Linked DNA regions of Neodiprion lecontei. The protein of the gene in region 2 purifies or fractionates together with the protein of the main gene of each other region. This does not show direct contact. Links are inferred from orthologs where the notes say so. Each region holds a gene or a part of one and is shown on either strand. Other genes may lie near its edges.

What was found.
Region 1: the proteins of cell division cycle 5-like protein (region 2) and serine/arginine repetitive matrix protein 1 purify together in Homo sapiens (affinity purification with mass spectrometry; 4 studies listed by BioGRID and IntAct, with this or other methods). This does not show direct contact. The link is inferred for Neodiprion lecontei from reciprocal best matches to the Homo sapiens genes CDC5L and SRRM1.

The regions. Positions count from the first base shown.
Region 1 is NC_060260.1:24,700,955-24,708,267, forward strand, and holds the start of serine/arginine repetitive matrix protein 1, read right to left. Parts: upstream 4,366-7,313; 5' UTR 4,209-4,365; intron 4,125-4,208; 5' UTR 4,035-4,124; coding exon 4,023-4,034; intron 3,935-4,022; coding exon 3,845-3,934; intron 2,823-3,844; coding exon 2,700-2,822; intron 915-2,699; exon of another isoform or gene 204-914; intron 1-203. Other genes in the region: uncharacterized protein LOC124293066, read right to left, coding at 6,939-7,021. UniProt on the Homo sapiens protein: Part of pre- and post-splicing multiprotein mRNP complexes. As a component of the minor spliceosome, involved in the splicing of U12-type introns in pre-mRNAs. Involved in numerous pre-mRNA processing events.
Region 2 is NC_060260.1:4,639,511-4,646,457, forward strand, and holds cell division cycle 5-like protein, read left to right. Parts: upstream 1-2,474; 5' UTR 2,475-2,592; coding exon 2,593-2,637; intron 2,638-2,913; coding exon 2,914-3,179; intron 3,180-3,269; coding exon 3,270-3,400; intron 3,401-3,493; coding exon 3,494-3,822; intron 3,823-3,923; coding exon 3,924-4,097; intron 4,098-4,205; coding exon 4,206-4,380; intron 4,381-4,478; coding exon 4,479-4,738; intron 4,739-4,846; coding exon 4,847-5,021; intron 5,022-5,110; coding exon 5,111-5,229; intron 5,230-5,314; coding exon 5,315-5,482; intron 5,483-5,603; coding exon 5,604-5,711; intron 5,712-5,768; exon of another isoform or gene 5,769-5,798; coding exon 5,799-5,972; exon of another isoform or gene 5,973-6,090; coding exon 6,091-6,321; 3' UTR 6,322-6,447; downstream 6,448-6,947. Other genes in the region: chromatin assembly factor 1 subunit B, read right to left, coding at 39-567, 650-877, 987-1,250, 1,329-1,638, 1,717-1,849, 2,003-2,143; cysteine and histidine-rich domain-containing protein morgana, read right to left, coding at 6,528-6,734, 6,867-6,947.

The DNA.
Region 1 (7,313 bases), about 20 Mb from region 2:
ATCGATGATGCCTAAATAAAAAACTAATATAAAAACAGAAATATCATTACAAACAGCTGATTACGAGAATGTGATTTTGAAATGTTACGGTGGTACAAAGCTATAATGTAAAAATATTGATTAGACACGTGGATACAATGATTATTAGCTGAAAAACGAAGAATCGATAGAAAAGTATAAGTATATATCATCAAGAAACCAACCTGTCATAATGACAAGGATTGTCACAACATGTGCGAATATGATGCTTGTCTACCAATCCCACTCTCCAAGCTTTGATCACTTCACTTCCACCTTGAAAGGGTGGACAGTTGAGATCGAACAGCAATAGTTCAGAAAGTCCCTTCCCCCCCCGTTGACTAAAGAAGAGCCGCAGGTGTGTCTTCAATGTTGGGTCGCTCTCATTGGTCAACGGTGAGCCCTGACCAAGGCCTGCAGATGTTTGTCATCTTTGGAATGAAGGGAAACTGCCGGTGATAACCAAGGTCCATGGTTCAAGGCCACCAAGGCCTTTCTGCTGCGTCGACAGCCAGTCAGTTGAATTGCCTCGGAAGAGGCAACTCGGTTTCCACGAAGAGGTGGTGCACGCGTCAACATGACGCAAAGCCTTGATTGAGGCTCTCCAGGATGATGAGGAACTCGTTCGCACGGACAAGATGTTGCAGTAGAAAAACGTAGCTGGTCTCTGGGTGACGATGACGGGGAATGGTGACTCCGCTAAGGCGGAGGTTGCTAGATGGTGAAGAATCGGCAACTGCGGCAGCTGTCCTTAGCTGCTGATGCGATGTGGTACGACGTAGAAGACGGATCACGCTATGGTTGACGGTTGATAGAAAGGCGGCCAATCGGATGCAGAGAGGAACACATCCGAATGCCATTGGGACAAAAGGGTTGAGCCCCCGCAACGGTTTCTACTTATAATAATGGGGAATTCAAAGAGACGTGATAAGACTTGTCATATATAGTGCAATTCAACAATTTTCACCTACGCACTTCACTTTTTTTTTTATGTCAAAGTCTGCTTTGTTTTGTTAAATCTACCGCTAAGATCACTACATTACATAGAAGGAATGATACTTCCAAATTTAATTATTAAGGCTGTTACATGATGATGTTGCGATAAATAAATTTCACGTCCTTCAGAAAGGCAATAATACGTTCTGCTTCATTTTTTCCTTGCTGAGCAAGAAATGCATTGTTTGACCAATGAGTAGGATGTTTATGAGTGTTTCAACACCAAATTAGCATCCCAAGATTCATTCATTGTAATAGTAGCAAATTTAAGAATTTAAAGCTATTAGAAGGTGCGAAACTACATCTTATTGTCAATAATATGACAATTCTAGGTTTCTCAGACATGAATGACAATTTTGATCAGGACAATTCTGAAGTTACACAAAATGACGATGCATCAAAAAAGTACAAAACAAGTCTAACCAAATTTGCTAAAATCATACAACTTAAACCCTTCGAAACTTTAATCATAAAGTATTTGCCAAAATGTTTTCTGTAATCCATGATAAAATTCTTGAACTGGAAACATTCATATCAAATCAGGTGCTACATAAACGATGAATTCATTCCAAAGATATGTGGGACTTTTACCCGAAATATGGATTTATGCTTTCACAGTTCGAGTGTTTTAGTTGATTTGAACAATAAAAATCAAAACAAAAGTAATCAAATCATTAAACTGATTTTTATCAATGATAATACAATTATTATTTTTTATTGCGCAGTAATTCTCTTGGTCAGGGGCCATATCAGACAGACTACTGTAAATTTACAAGATTGAAGTCAGTGATATTACTGTAACAAAACATTGAAAAAAAGATTACTAGGTTGCAATTGTAGATTGACTTCGAAAAAGTTTAGTTTCCAAAGTATGAAAAATTTTGCCTTACGATGTACTGAATTTCAAAAAATCCCAACGTTACAGAATAGCGTATTTTGAAAAAAAAAAATAATGTATTATTATATTAATATTCCAAACATCAACCTCATGTCTATTTATCAAAAGATCTTATAACGTGGACTGATTGTTTCAACTATTTTTTGAATCTACGCTCAATTGGAAGAAAAAACCAATGTATTTGTATAATATTTACTAGAAAGACTGTTCTTTGAGCCCTGAATTTATTTTTCTGCGTTATAAGTATGTTTTTAAAATTAAATGACTGGTGTTTTGAAACAGAAACAGAGATACTCATATTTGAGATGTGGAAATACATCATTGGACAAATTTCTTTGAGGAAACATTCTAGACATGTGATCGCCATCGCCATTGCCAAGCGTTTCTTGCAATTTTTATCGAACTCCATGATTGTGTACAGCAGAATTATTGAGAAAACTGCATACCATAATTCAGTTATCACCCAACAGAATTACTGAGCCAAATTTCTTCGTTGAAGTTATTGAAAACTTAATGAAAAACACCTTACAATTATCGGTTTGACATTTTTGTAACTGTCAAGATGAAGTGCACATAATTCATTGGTACGAGCAGCTGAGTGTGATCGCATATCTTTTTGTCCGGACTATATCTATGATAATGTGTGTCAAAGTAAATGTTCTATGCTGAGGGGAAAAAGCCGAGTATACAAACTGCTTATTCAATTATTTAGACCATTCTATCCATTTAAATCAAAAAGAAAATAAGTAACGATTTAAAACAAAAAGGATATTCTAAATGTTCTTACCTTTTCCTCCAGCTGGTTGTAGACGAACTCAACCACTACATCATCTTCCATGCCAAGGATCTGATTTATTTTGGTAGTAATCCAGGGCTTAATAACGTCCAATTTTACTTTGCTCATGTCTACCTGTAATTTGAAATTATTTTTTTTCAATACTCGTACCGTATCATTCACTTTTGATTGAAATAAAATGATCTAGTAACCTACTCACAGCTAATAAAGTACAAGGTTGAACTTAGTAACGTAATTTATTACAAGGTTGAAGTTAGTAACGTTAACGTATGAAAAAAATCATTATTGCGCAATTTTAGAATAACTTTGAAGGAGTTGGCTTTTTAAAATAAGAGTATGTTTACTTGATCACAGTTTACTACATTTCAGACATTCCTAAAGGTGCAAAGTAATGATTTATCCTAAACATGCATCGTTACAGTAATGTTACCAACTTCATCCCTATAATTTATTGATGTCCTGTTCAAGTAGAGACAAGAAAATCACTAAGTTTTCAGTGTTAGCAAACTACGTACCAAGTGACGTTACACATGATTCGTTGACATTAATTCAAAATACATTACCGATATGCAATGGTATTGAAAGACGAAATATTGAAACTAATTACTGTCCGTTTACTAAAAGAAAGGTTAGAGATGAATCCTAAGAAACCGGATGAAAAAAATACACAAGTATTGGCTTGACAGTAAGATCGTCATTATAGAATAAAGGTTCATTAGATGTGATGACACATGACTATTGATAAGAGTGAATATGTGAATATGTTAAAATATCACAAAAGTGCCGCGTGCTGCAAGGGAGTTGCGTTTCATGTATATTTCACAACACTCTAAACGCGTCAGACATTGACAGCATGGTTCTTACTTCATGTGTATGTTTTGGATTTGGATTGCAACCGAATATAATAATTCATAAAAGCTTTGACTGCAGTTCAACTGATCTATGCTTGTCCGGACATCGGTTAAAAATTCAGGACACGTCCGCAGCATTAAAATATTAACGGAAAGTATTTCAGTTGTGAAAATTGACTGAAAGTGGCGAGTCACTCACGAGGGGCTTCGAATGAAACCCCATTATGAAATACTAATATATTTTTAGTTGGATCTGGAAAGTTCAATTGCTAAGTAGAACCCTACCTTTTGGGTTAGAGAATCACCAAATTTCATCTGCTTCAACAATTTCTTCTCCTTATCGCTGAACCGCGTATCCTGCGATGCCGTGGTCCCCTGTAAATACATATGCAAAAACAGTTAGTGAAGATAACACACAATGTAAAGATGTGATATTGTATGAAAAATACGCGCAAGATCTCACCGTGTACATCATCTCTGCCGGTTGTTACAATCGCTGCTAAGCCTGAAATTGGACGAGGGCGAAAGGCCTGCTGCGCGTTGTGTACGCTCGGGAACAGTAAACCTGTATTTTAAAGTTGCAGAAGAAACGGCATAATGACGTTGAGTCACTAGAAAATATAATTTTAGATGGTGGAGTGAAACGTACCCAGTCGATGATATTTTTAGCGACAAAATATGTACGATTATTTCGTTTCAGCACACATTCGCGAACAACAGTTGACTCTGCGATACTAGTCAATCTAACAACATGGCTAATGGCTGCGGCGATGCTGCTTACTTTTCCTGCTTACATTGCTGCCGCACGGTGTTGCCAGATGGTACACGTAATGCGTCTATTGGCCGACGACGGCGCGATCTACCGGCTATTTCCTGAGTTATTCTCTCTGGCCGCGGTTTGGGACCATAGACTTAATTAATTTGGAACCAAGCGCGGATTTGGACGGCTGCCGATCAGTCTGCTCAGTGGTCTGCTCATGTCCGCTCTGTGAGTTCGGTAAGATTACGTATACGGGAATCATTAGAAGAAACTTCAGAATCTAAACAAATGGATTCAGAAAAAATGGAAGATTCTCCACTTTGGTAAGTGTATAATATAGTTCGTTGTCGCCTTCACCAGCCAGCTTTGACATGGACAAAATGTGTCGTTTGGCCGTTTCAGAATTTTTCAAATCGTTCAATGCATTAATTAAGAGTCAACCGTGTCATGACAAATATTTCGGGAATATGTCCTTGCGCCTAAAGAAGTCAGATCGCTGCATCAGACACACTCGACAGTTTCATAGGGTTCGGACGCTATACTTTGTTGTGTAATGACTGGATTAATTCTCGTAAAAACAAAACCCGAGAAAATAGATACGAGAAAATATTACCCCGAATTATTCATTTTGATCAGAATATTTGTCATCGGTTTATCACGTTCTTAAGCAGTAACACCAGTCTCGGATTTTAGAAATTTCGATTTCTTTTATATTCGGCTTAAACAATACTTTGGGGTCATGAAAACAATATCCAGTTGGTCCTATAGTGAAAAAAAAATGTTAAAAGCTTCAATTCTCGTTTTTGCCACAGTGTATCGGAGCGCGCGCTGATCGTGAGTGCTCGTAAAACTTTAAACGCAATTTTTTCGAAACCACTTTTCAAAGTGGAAGGACAGATTACTTGAACACCGTTGTATGGATCGATTTGAAATTTTGACAATCGCTTCACAATACATTCTATATGGAATTACGTCGCCGTTTTTTTATTTAATGTAAATTTTGTTTTTTTTTCAATTTATTGCTTATTGATTGGCCAAAAACCTACTCATTTCTTTTCAAACGTGCACCATTTCTACAAAATTAGATTGAAAAAAAGCCCCTGCGTGCTTCCAGAACAATAGGATACATGTAGATTATAAATTTTTTTTATATCTTGTGTCAGGTCTTATAGTTTATGAGAAATCCATCCTCTCGTGAAGGAGTTTTAAAGAAAGGCTAAAAAATTATATTAGCCAAAAGTATTGACTTTTGACAGGTTTACTTAATGGTATTTCTTATGTTTTTATTTGACACCTTTATTTTCATCCCGCTTTCTGCCTGTGGACAATACTTTTACCGAATTTTGCGAGGAGAGGCCCTTTTATGATCAGTGTGCTTAATTGTTCCATCTATGGACCCACTTATAAACTGACCATTTACAATCTACTTTTTTAACATTGCATATGAAATATTGTACTTCCAACTTTTGTGAGTTCTTACGAATACATAATTTTTTGCATAATGCACCTGTTATATAAGAAATCAAAATTATATATGCAACCTCAATTTCACGTGATTAAATTTCAATAACTACTAACATAGTATCAATATTTCAGATGCCTTGTATGTGTTTATTTTCACAATTTTTAAATATCAAATTAGGTAACTGATTCATCAATTTAAAAAGATTCCATCAAATCGATTATCATGTGACTACTTTATAGGAAATTCTGATTTTTGACACGTGGTGTAGGTTTATGAATAGCTATACATAAACGTGTCTAATAGTTCGATGTTCGATTGCGCAACTTTGAAACAAAGCACAAAATCAACGCAGATAATTATCTGGCAACAAGCTAGTTGGTGGTGCAAGTGTGGAGGTCATTACCGTGGTGGCATACACCTCAGTCATGATCGGATTGTATGCTTTTCACTCAATGAATGTTGAATGAGGATTTGAAATATACCTGTTCAATGACGTGTCTCCTGCCATTAGATTTGCACGTCAAGTAATAAACCTAGACTTTTATTTGAATAGTTGCATCAATGAGGCTAACAGAAAATAAAACTCAAACATTTATTAAAAAATTTTTACTGTGCTTTCAAATTACATATATGTTGTTATGTAATACTAAGAAATACAAGTTCAGCACTCTTATGTTTATGATTATAACACAGCCACAGTTTGTACCAAAAATTACTTATATGCAACAGAAATAAAAAGTATGTTCGAATATACGTTCTTAGATAAATAACTAAAAAGTTAATTCATTTCTCATAAGTATTTGAATGTCCTACTGGCAGTTAAAATTAATTCTTGATCTGAAGAACAGACAGTATATTAAATGAAATTATATAGGTCAGATATTCCATTTGCAATTAATGAATTAGTTGCAGTTCAAGTTAATTTGATATTGTCAAATTATCAAATTCATATTAAATAAAAATAAATAAGTCAATTTAAATAATTAGTGAAAATTTAAAAGCAAATATCAATTATATTGATATACCTTTGAATGTGGACAATAATTTGCATAGATATCCATTTTATGACGAATGAATCATTCACAAATAGTCATTGATTATGATCAAGAACTTGCAGAGCACGATGCAGGGTAGAGGATGCCATTAAAATTTGTTTAGTACATAGAATACTCCTGGATGTAAATATGTCCATAGGGTTCAGCTTGAAGCAGTTTCACTTGTTTTGATTTATGCAGTTCTGAAATTCGAATCCAATGAAGAACCATTTCAAATTATCTCACCGAATAAAATATCATTACAGCAGATATAATTGTTTTATTTTAAAATTATTTACATATCAATAAAGGTAGAATCTTTGAATTATCGATTAAAATATTCTCTCTCCATTAATGTATTTTTATACAACTAGTTGAAAATTTAACTAATTCCATTTTTTGTAAATAATGAAGAATAACAGCATTTAAACTTGCAAGAAGAACTATTGGGCCCTTTTTTCAATAAATGAAAACTAAATCTTAAATTATTTAATA
Region 2 (6,947 bases):
TGAAAGATACGTGTGTATATATTACCTAAATTTAACGGTCAATTCTTCTTCCCACTTCTCGGACTGGAGAGTGTGATAAGCTGTACCCTACGCGGAGTTTTAGCTGCTATCACATTAGGAACTATTGGTTTTGGAGGTGTTTTTTTAACAATGTCACTTATATTTTCTGTGTTACTTTCTTCTGTGTAAACAAGTTTTATATCTTCCGTCTCTTCAAGAACTACGTCATCAACATCTGTCGACTTTGTATTTTGGACGTTTTTCACAAGTTTATCATCTTTATTACCATTATTCGCCTCTTCGCTAAAGTCAGATGCTTTCACAGGTTTCGTAATGTCAATATCCATTGCGTCACTGCACATATCAATAATGAATTCAGTCTTCTCGGCATTATTAGTCTTACGCTTTGATTTGGATGAATTTGAATGCACAGATTTCGTTTCTGTCGTGTCATTTATGTTTACCAAACTAGATTCATACACATTTCCCAATTCTCCGTCTTGGAAATGAATTATTGAACAATAACCGTCTGTTGACGAAACGACTAAAAGACGTCCGTCGGACGACCTGAAATACACACAAATAGAATTTAAATGCAATAATGTCGTATTGCTGTGCATTGTGAAACGCAGCATTTCATTTAACTCACCACGCAATGTCTGTCAATCTGGTATAATGAATGTTCGAAATTATTGCAATTGGAGAAACTTGTTGAGTGTCATATATGAGGACGGAACTTTTTGTAGCAACTGCAAATACTATTCTATAAGGAATTCCTATCATCGATACCGGGCCATCTTCTCTCAACTTAAAGTAAATAGGACAACAACGTACAGCTACTGTAAATTGTTCCAAAGACGGCAACACTACTATAGGCCTGAAAAATTAAAAGATATCGCGTTTAGACATGTCTGTTAGTAGAAAAGCGATGTTTCCAAATTCTGCATACAAAAATCCGATAATAAATGTAATGTAATCGTACATACTCCTTAATATTATGCCTGGAGAAGATAATTGTTGCATTGGACAACTTTTCAGAAGATTCTTGAGGTTCAATAATGCCAGATGGCGCAATAATCAATAAGCCATCGGGTGAAAACGTAAGTCTTCTGAAGAAGGATTGAAAAGTGTCATCATAAAACAAGCGTACAGTTTTGTCTTTCAGTGGGTGATTGGCTGGCGTGGGGATCTTGGCCTTACTGACGCGCTGAACAGTTTTTTTTGTGTTTATATCAAATAACCGGCATTGCCTGTGGACAAAGAAATTTGTGAGCCCAATTTGCACGGGAGAAAGATCATTTTTTGTCGAAAACTATATGCTCTACTACCTGTCTGTACTTAATGTGCACACGTATTGATTTGACGGATCCCATGAAACTCCTTGAACAAATCCTTTATGATCTGATAATATACCCATGCTTCGCCCTTTTTCAACATCCCACAGAATGGCAGTATTATCAACAGAGCCGGAGACTAAAAAATTGGAATCAGGGGACCAGCTCAAATCGTAAACATCCTCGACGTGGCCTCGAAGGATCTTCCATAAATTCCATTGTTCTTTATTCTGATTTGTATCATCCCCTGCAAGTGGGGGTGGTTCAAATTCGCCCCTTTCTTTCCATAACATTATCGCAGACTCTGAAAGAATGAATTAAAAAAATTAAGGATTAAATAATTCAGAGTTAAAAACTGTATTACTCCATTTTCCTTGCTCACCGTCATCACCAGATGCAAGGATTTCACCCGAAGGAGAAAATCTTACAACATTAACTGCCTTCTGATGGCGACTCAAGTCCCCAACAAACTCCACAACCGTTGCTCCCACTTCATTTACTGTGAGATGCCAAATCTAGATTAAATATTGCAAATTAATTGAATAATATTTATTTGGTCACAATATTCAGGTTGAAAAAATCGAATATCTTTTAAAACTAATTTAGGCTTTTCATTCAGGTCAATTACCCAGAATTCGCGATGGTAAAAATTGAAACTCTTTACTTACCAGAACATGAGAATCCGCACCACCAGTAGCCAAACGCCAAAATATTTTACCGTCCGAAGTCTTATTTACACCGGGTTTTAGGTCAATACTCAGAACAGGATCGCGATTATGCCAGGATATTTCAGGAATCGTACACTTCATTATGTTTAATTAGAAGAACATGTATGAGAAAACGATAATTTTAACTGCGCCGTGTTTCGTCTATCCCGATTTTTATTAAAATTAAATCCACACTTCAATCGGTGATTATTATTTTCTACACATAACCTGATTTTGTACTGCACGAAGAATTTCGCGCGAAACGCTCCAACGTAGTCTGTGGTTCAGAGAACAATGAAGAAAATCGGTGCATGTGGGAGTTTCAACTCTGTAGAGACAATTAGTTCCTAAAAGTCACGATAGAGGTCGATCAATTAAGAAATTGCAACCCTGACTGTTGGTAGCATTGGCTCTTGACGCCACCTTGACGCCATCAACTTCATTGAGAGCGAATTACACCTTTAATCAATTTGTAGCGAAAATTCATGCTAGCGAGAATTTTCGTGGCTTCTTACTTTATTTCGTTTGTAGTTAATTAAATTACAAACAAAATGCCACGTATAATGATAAAAGGTGGTGTTTGGCGCAACACCGAAGTAAGTAACAATTTTCTAACCTCGATTATGAATTTCAAATGCGCCGAACCTTGCGAGATAAAAGCCGCTGATAATACTCAAAATCAGCACTCTAAATTCTTCGGTTATAATTCAAAAATAATTATGCTTGATTTCTGGACAGATCATTGCATCAAAATTCACTGTACTATATATCTTACTTCATTTCATTTTACCTCATACCTGTATAATAGTTGAGTTGGAAACTTTTCGTCCGACATAATTATACACACGTAGCAATTTATATATATTTTCTAGGATGAAATTCTCAAAGCAGCGGTTATGAAATATGGAAAAAACCAATGGTCACGTATAGCCTCACTGCTTCACAGAAAGTCTGCTAAACAATGTAAAGCACGATGGTTCGAATGGTTGGATCCAAGTATAAAGAAAACAGAATGGAGTCGAGAGGAAGACGAGAAGCTTTTGCATTTGGCAAAGTTAATGCCAACACAATGGCGTACCATAGCTCCAATTATCGGACGTACCGCTGCCCAATGTTTAGAACGCTACGAATATTTGCTGTAAGTACGATTGAGTCATGTCTTAAAAGTCAGCAGTAATAGAGAATTAGCGCTAATCTTATCCTCCATTGAATACTATTTAATTTTCAGAGATCAAGCTCAAAAAAAAGAAGAAGGAGAAGATGCAGCTGATGATCCTCGCAAATTAAAACCAGGCGAAATTGATCCCAATCCAGAGACAAAACCTGCTCGCCCTGATCCAAAGGATATGGACGAAGATGGTAACTGTTGACATGTATTACGATTATAACTAATAAATTCATTACGTTCATTGATTCAGAAAATACTTGATAATAATCTCTAATTTTATCCAGAACTTGAAATGCTGTCGGAGGCCCGAGCTAGATTAGCAAATACTCAAGGTAAAAAGGCTAAGCGTAAGGCCAGGGAGAAGCAGTTAGAAGAAGCCAGACGATTGGCGGCGCTTCAGAAACGAAGAGAATTACGAGCTGCTGGAATTACAGTGTCTCAGAAACACAAACGCAAACGTGGCGTAAACTACAACACTGAAATACCATTTGAAAAACGGCCAGCACTTGGTTTTTATGATACATCAATAGAACATGTTGATCCCCTAGCAGCTGACTTTTCTAGAATGCGTCAACAACATTTAGATGGAGACCTGAGGCAAGAAAAGGAGGAGGTACAATATGTGGAATTCTATTTTGAATGAAGTCAACCAATAAGTGTTAAGAGCAACTTTTCTCATTCTATTTGGTCCAAATAATTGTATAATAATCGTAGATGGAGCGACGCAAGGACAAGCAAAAGCTCAAGCAAAGAAAAGAAAATGATATTCCAATGGGAATGCTAAACAATCAAGAACCAGTTAAAAAGAGGAGTAAACTGGTCTTGCCAGAGCCACAGATATCTGATCAAGAATTACAACAAGTTGTCAAGCTTGGTAGAGCTTCTGAGGTATCAAGTGTTGCATATGTTTTATTGAGTATTCAATCCATCCACAATTTTATTCTTGTTTTCAGTCAACATAAGCACATACAAATGATGTAGTATACTTTTTATTAGGTGGCTCGAGAAGTTGCAACAGAAAGTGGAGTGACACTATCCGACAGCTTATTGGCGGACTATTCTCTGACTCCAAGTGCAGCAGCAACTCCTCGCACACCAGCTGCTACGGACAGAATTCTCCAGGAGGCTCAAAATGTGATGGCTTTGACCCATGTTGACACACCTCTAAAAGGTGAACTTCGTTTTCATGAAATTACGTCTTTAGATTACAAATCTTGCAATAACGTTATTAAAAACTGTTACCACATGTTTTGTAAATCAACTTTGCAGGTGGTTTGAATACACCGCTACACAGTTCGGATTTCAGCAGTATTTTACCTGCTAATAATGTTGTGGCTACACCCAACACTGTATTGGCAACGCCATTCCGCTCACAACGCACTGACGGTACACCTACAAATTCGTTCAATACGCCAACATCTACACGAAGTCAAGCTGGAGCTCTGGTACCGACACCTGTTCGCGATAAACTGAGTATCAATCCAGAAGAAGGACTGGAAGGTTCAGAGACCCCTGCTCTTCACAAGCAGGTATTCTCAAATTATGAGAATAGTGAGCTGTACCCGAAAAGATCAGCAATTCATCAGCACATCAGCTGATTCCATAGTAGAATTACAGTTTTCATTTTTTTTTATTAGGTGAAAGAACAGCTACGTGCTGGATTAAGTACTTTACCCACACCTCGGAATGATTATGAAATAGTTGTTCCTGAAGGTGAAGGAGATGATGAAAAAGGAAACGAGTCTTCAGACAATATAATAGAAGATCAAGCTGACATTGATGCTAGACGTCAACAGGAAATAATTGAGCAGCGTAAGTTTCGTAATCCAGAAGTAACTATCAATTTGCTCAAAATTATATTTCATCCAAAAGTCATGAAAATTTGATTGATTATTGTTCAGAAAAAAGGGATCTTGCTCAAAGATCACAAGTGATCCAACGAGATATGCCCAGACCCGTAGACATCAATATGAACATCTTGCGACCGCTTATGGATAGTCCACTAACGGACTTGCAGAGGGTATTGAAACAGAAAATAGTCCAATAATCAAATGTAGCAGTAAATGTTGATTATGAAAATTCAAAATATTAAATATTCATTTCAGGCCGAAGAATTAATAAAGAGAGAAATGATCACAATGCTTCAGTACGACTCGCTGGAAAACCCAGTGACTACAATTACCAAACGAGGATCAAGTTCTTCAATTGTACAAGCTACCGCATTTCTGGAACAGCATCCCTACATAGACTACGATCCAGAAGAACTTGCGCAAGTAAGTGAAGTTACTATCTGACAAATACTACGTTCTGCCCTACAAAAAATAAAGTTGATTTTGGTATCGAGACTTTTTTATACTATGCTCCAATTTTAACTGAAGTATAACCTTTTCACAGGCTCGTAAACTTTTGGAGCAAGAAATGGCAGTTGTGCGGGAAGGAATGGCACATGGAGAACTAAGTTTAGATGCCTATTCTACTGTCTGGGAAGAATGTCTGTCACAGGTTTGTTTTTGTCGTCTTTTGTTACAGTTCATCACGCAAAGAATTATATGAACGTGATTAAAAAATTAAATCGATTATTTATTATAGATTCTATATCTGGAGAATCAGAAGCGATACACAAGAGCTACTTTAGCTTCAAAGAAAGATAGGGTCGAAGCATGTGAAAGAAAATTAGAAGAAAACCGTGTTCATATGACTGGGGAAGCAAAACGTGCAGCGAAAATGGAGAAGAAGCTCAAAATATTGACTGGAGGCTATCAGGTAAAGTAATATCTGTGGAATTGTATCGTGATGTCATGATTGAACGATTCTGAATTCAACAAAATTCAAATTATCAATATGCTCCTCTTTATGAATTTCTGCTAACATCTTTTCACAGACACGTGCACAAGGATTATCAAAACAAATACATGACTTATGGGAACAAATCGAACAGGCTCACCTCGAACTATCAACTTTCAAATTTCTCCAAGCACAAGAGGAAGCTGCAGTACCAAGGCGACTGAATGCACTCATGGAAGACGTCAATAGGCAAACTGAAAGAGAACGTATCTTGCAAAATAAATTTGCTGAGCTTCAAGATCAGTTGCAGCAGTTACAAGTGCAATAACGTTAACATAAGAGAGGTTAGATGAAATACTGAAGAAAAAAAAGTAAATATTAAATGAGGAATTGTTCACCTCGTTCCAAAATTAGCAACTTATGATAAAAGATTAATAAATGACTGCATAATTTATACATGATAATCATTCACGAATGTATTTGTGCTGATATTTCTGGTCTTAAATAACTTTAAGTAATAAACAGTCTACATTTTCAAAGATCACTGAGGTCTACAGCATCTACTTGTGCGGTTATGCTCTCCTCTTTCTCAGACTCTGACTGTAGGACAGGAGGTGTTTCTATCGTTTTGGTTGGATTTGCGGTTTCAAGCTTAGCCCAAGTCCCTGGTTCAGCTTTTTTCAATTTTATTTCTACTTTAGTCGGCAACATGTTTACGCTACTTTCTTCCACATTGACTACCTAAAATAGTGCAAAAATAATCCTTGAAATATAGTTGTCCAATCAAAATTTAGCTATTTGTTTGTTGTCAAAATTATTTACACTGAAATGAAATAATTCGACATTGAATTGTTATTAATTGTGAAACTTTACCCCTCTGAGTTCAACATCCAGCTCATATCTGGAATCTTCCTCTTGGAAGTACAGATCCACAGTCAATCGTACTGGATTTAA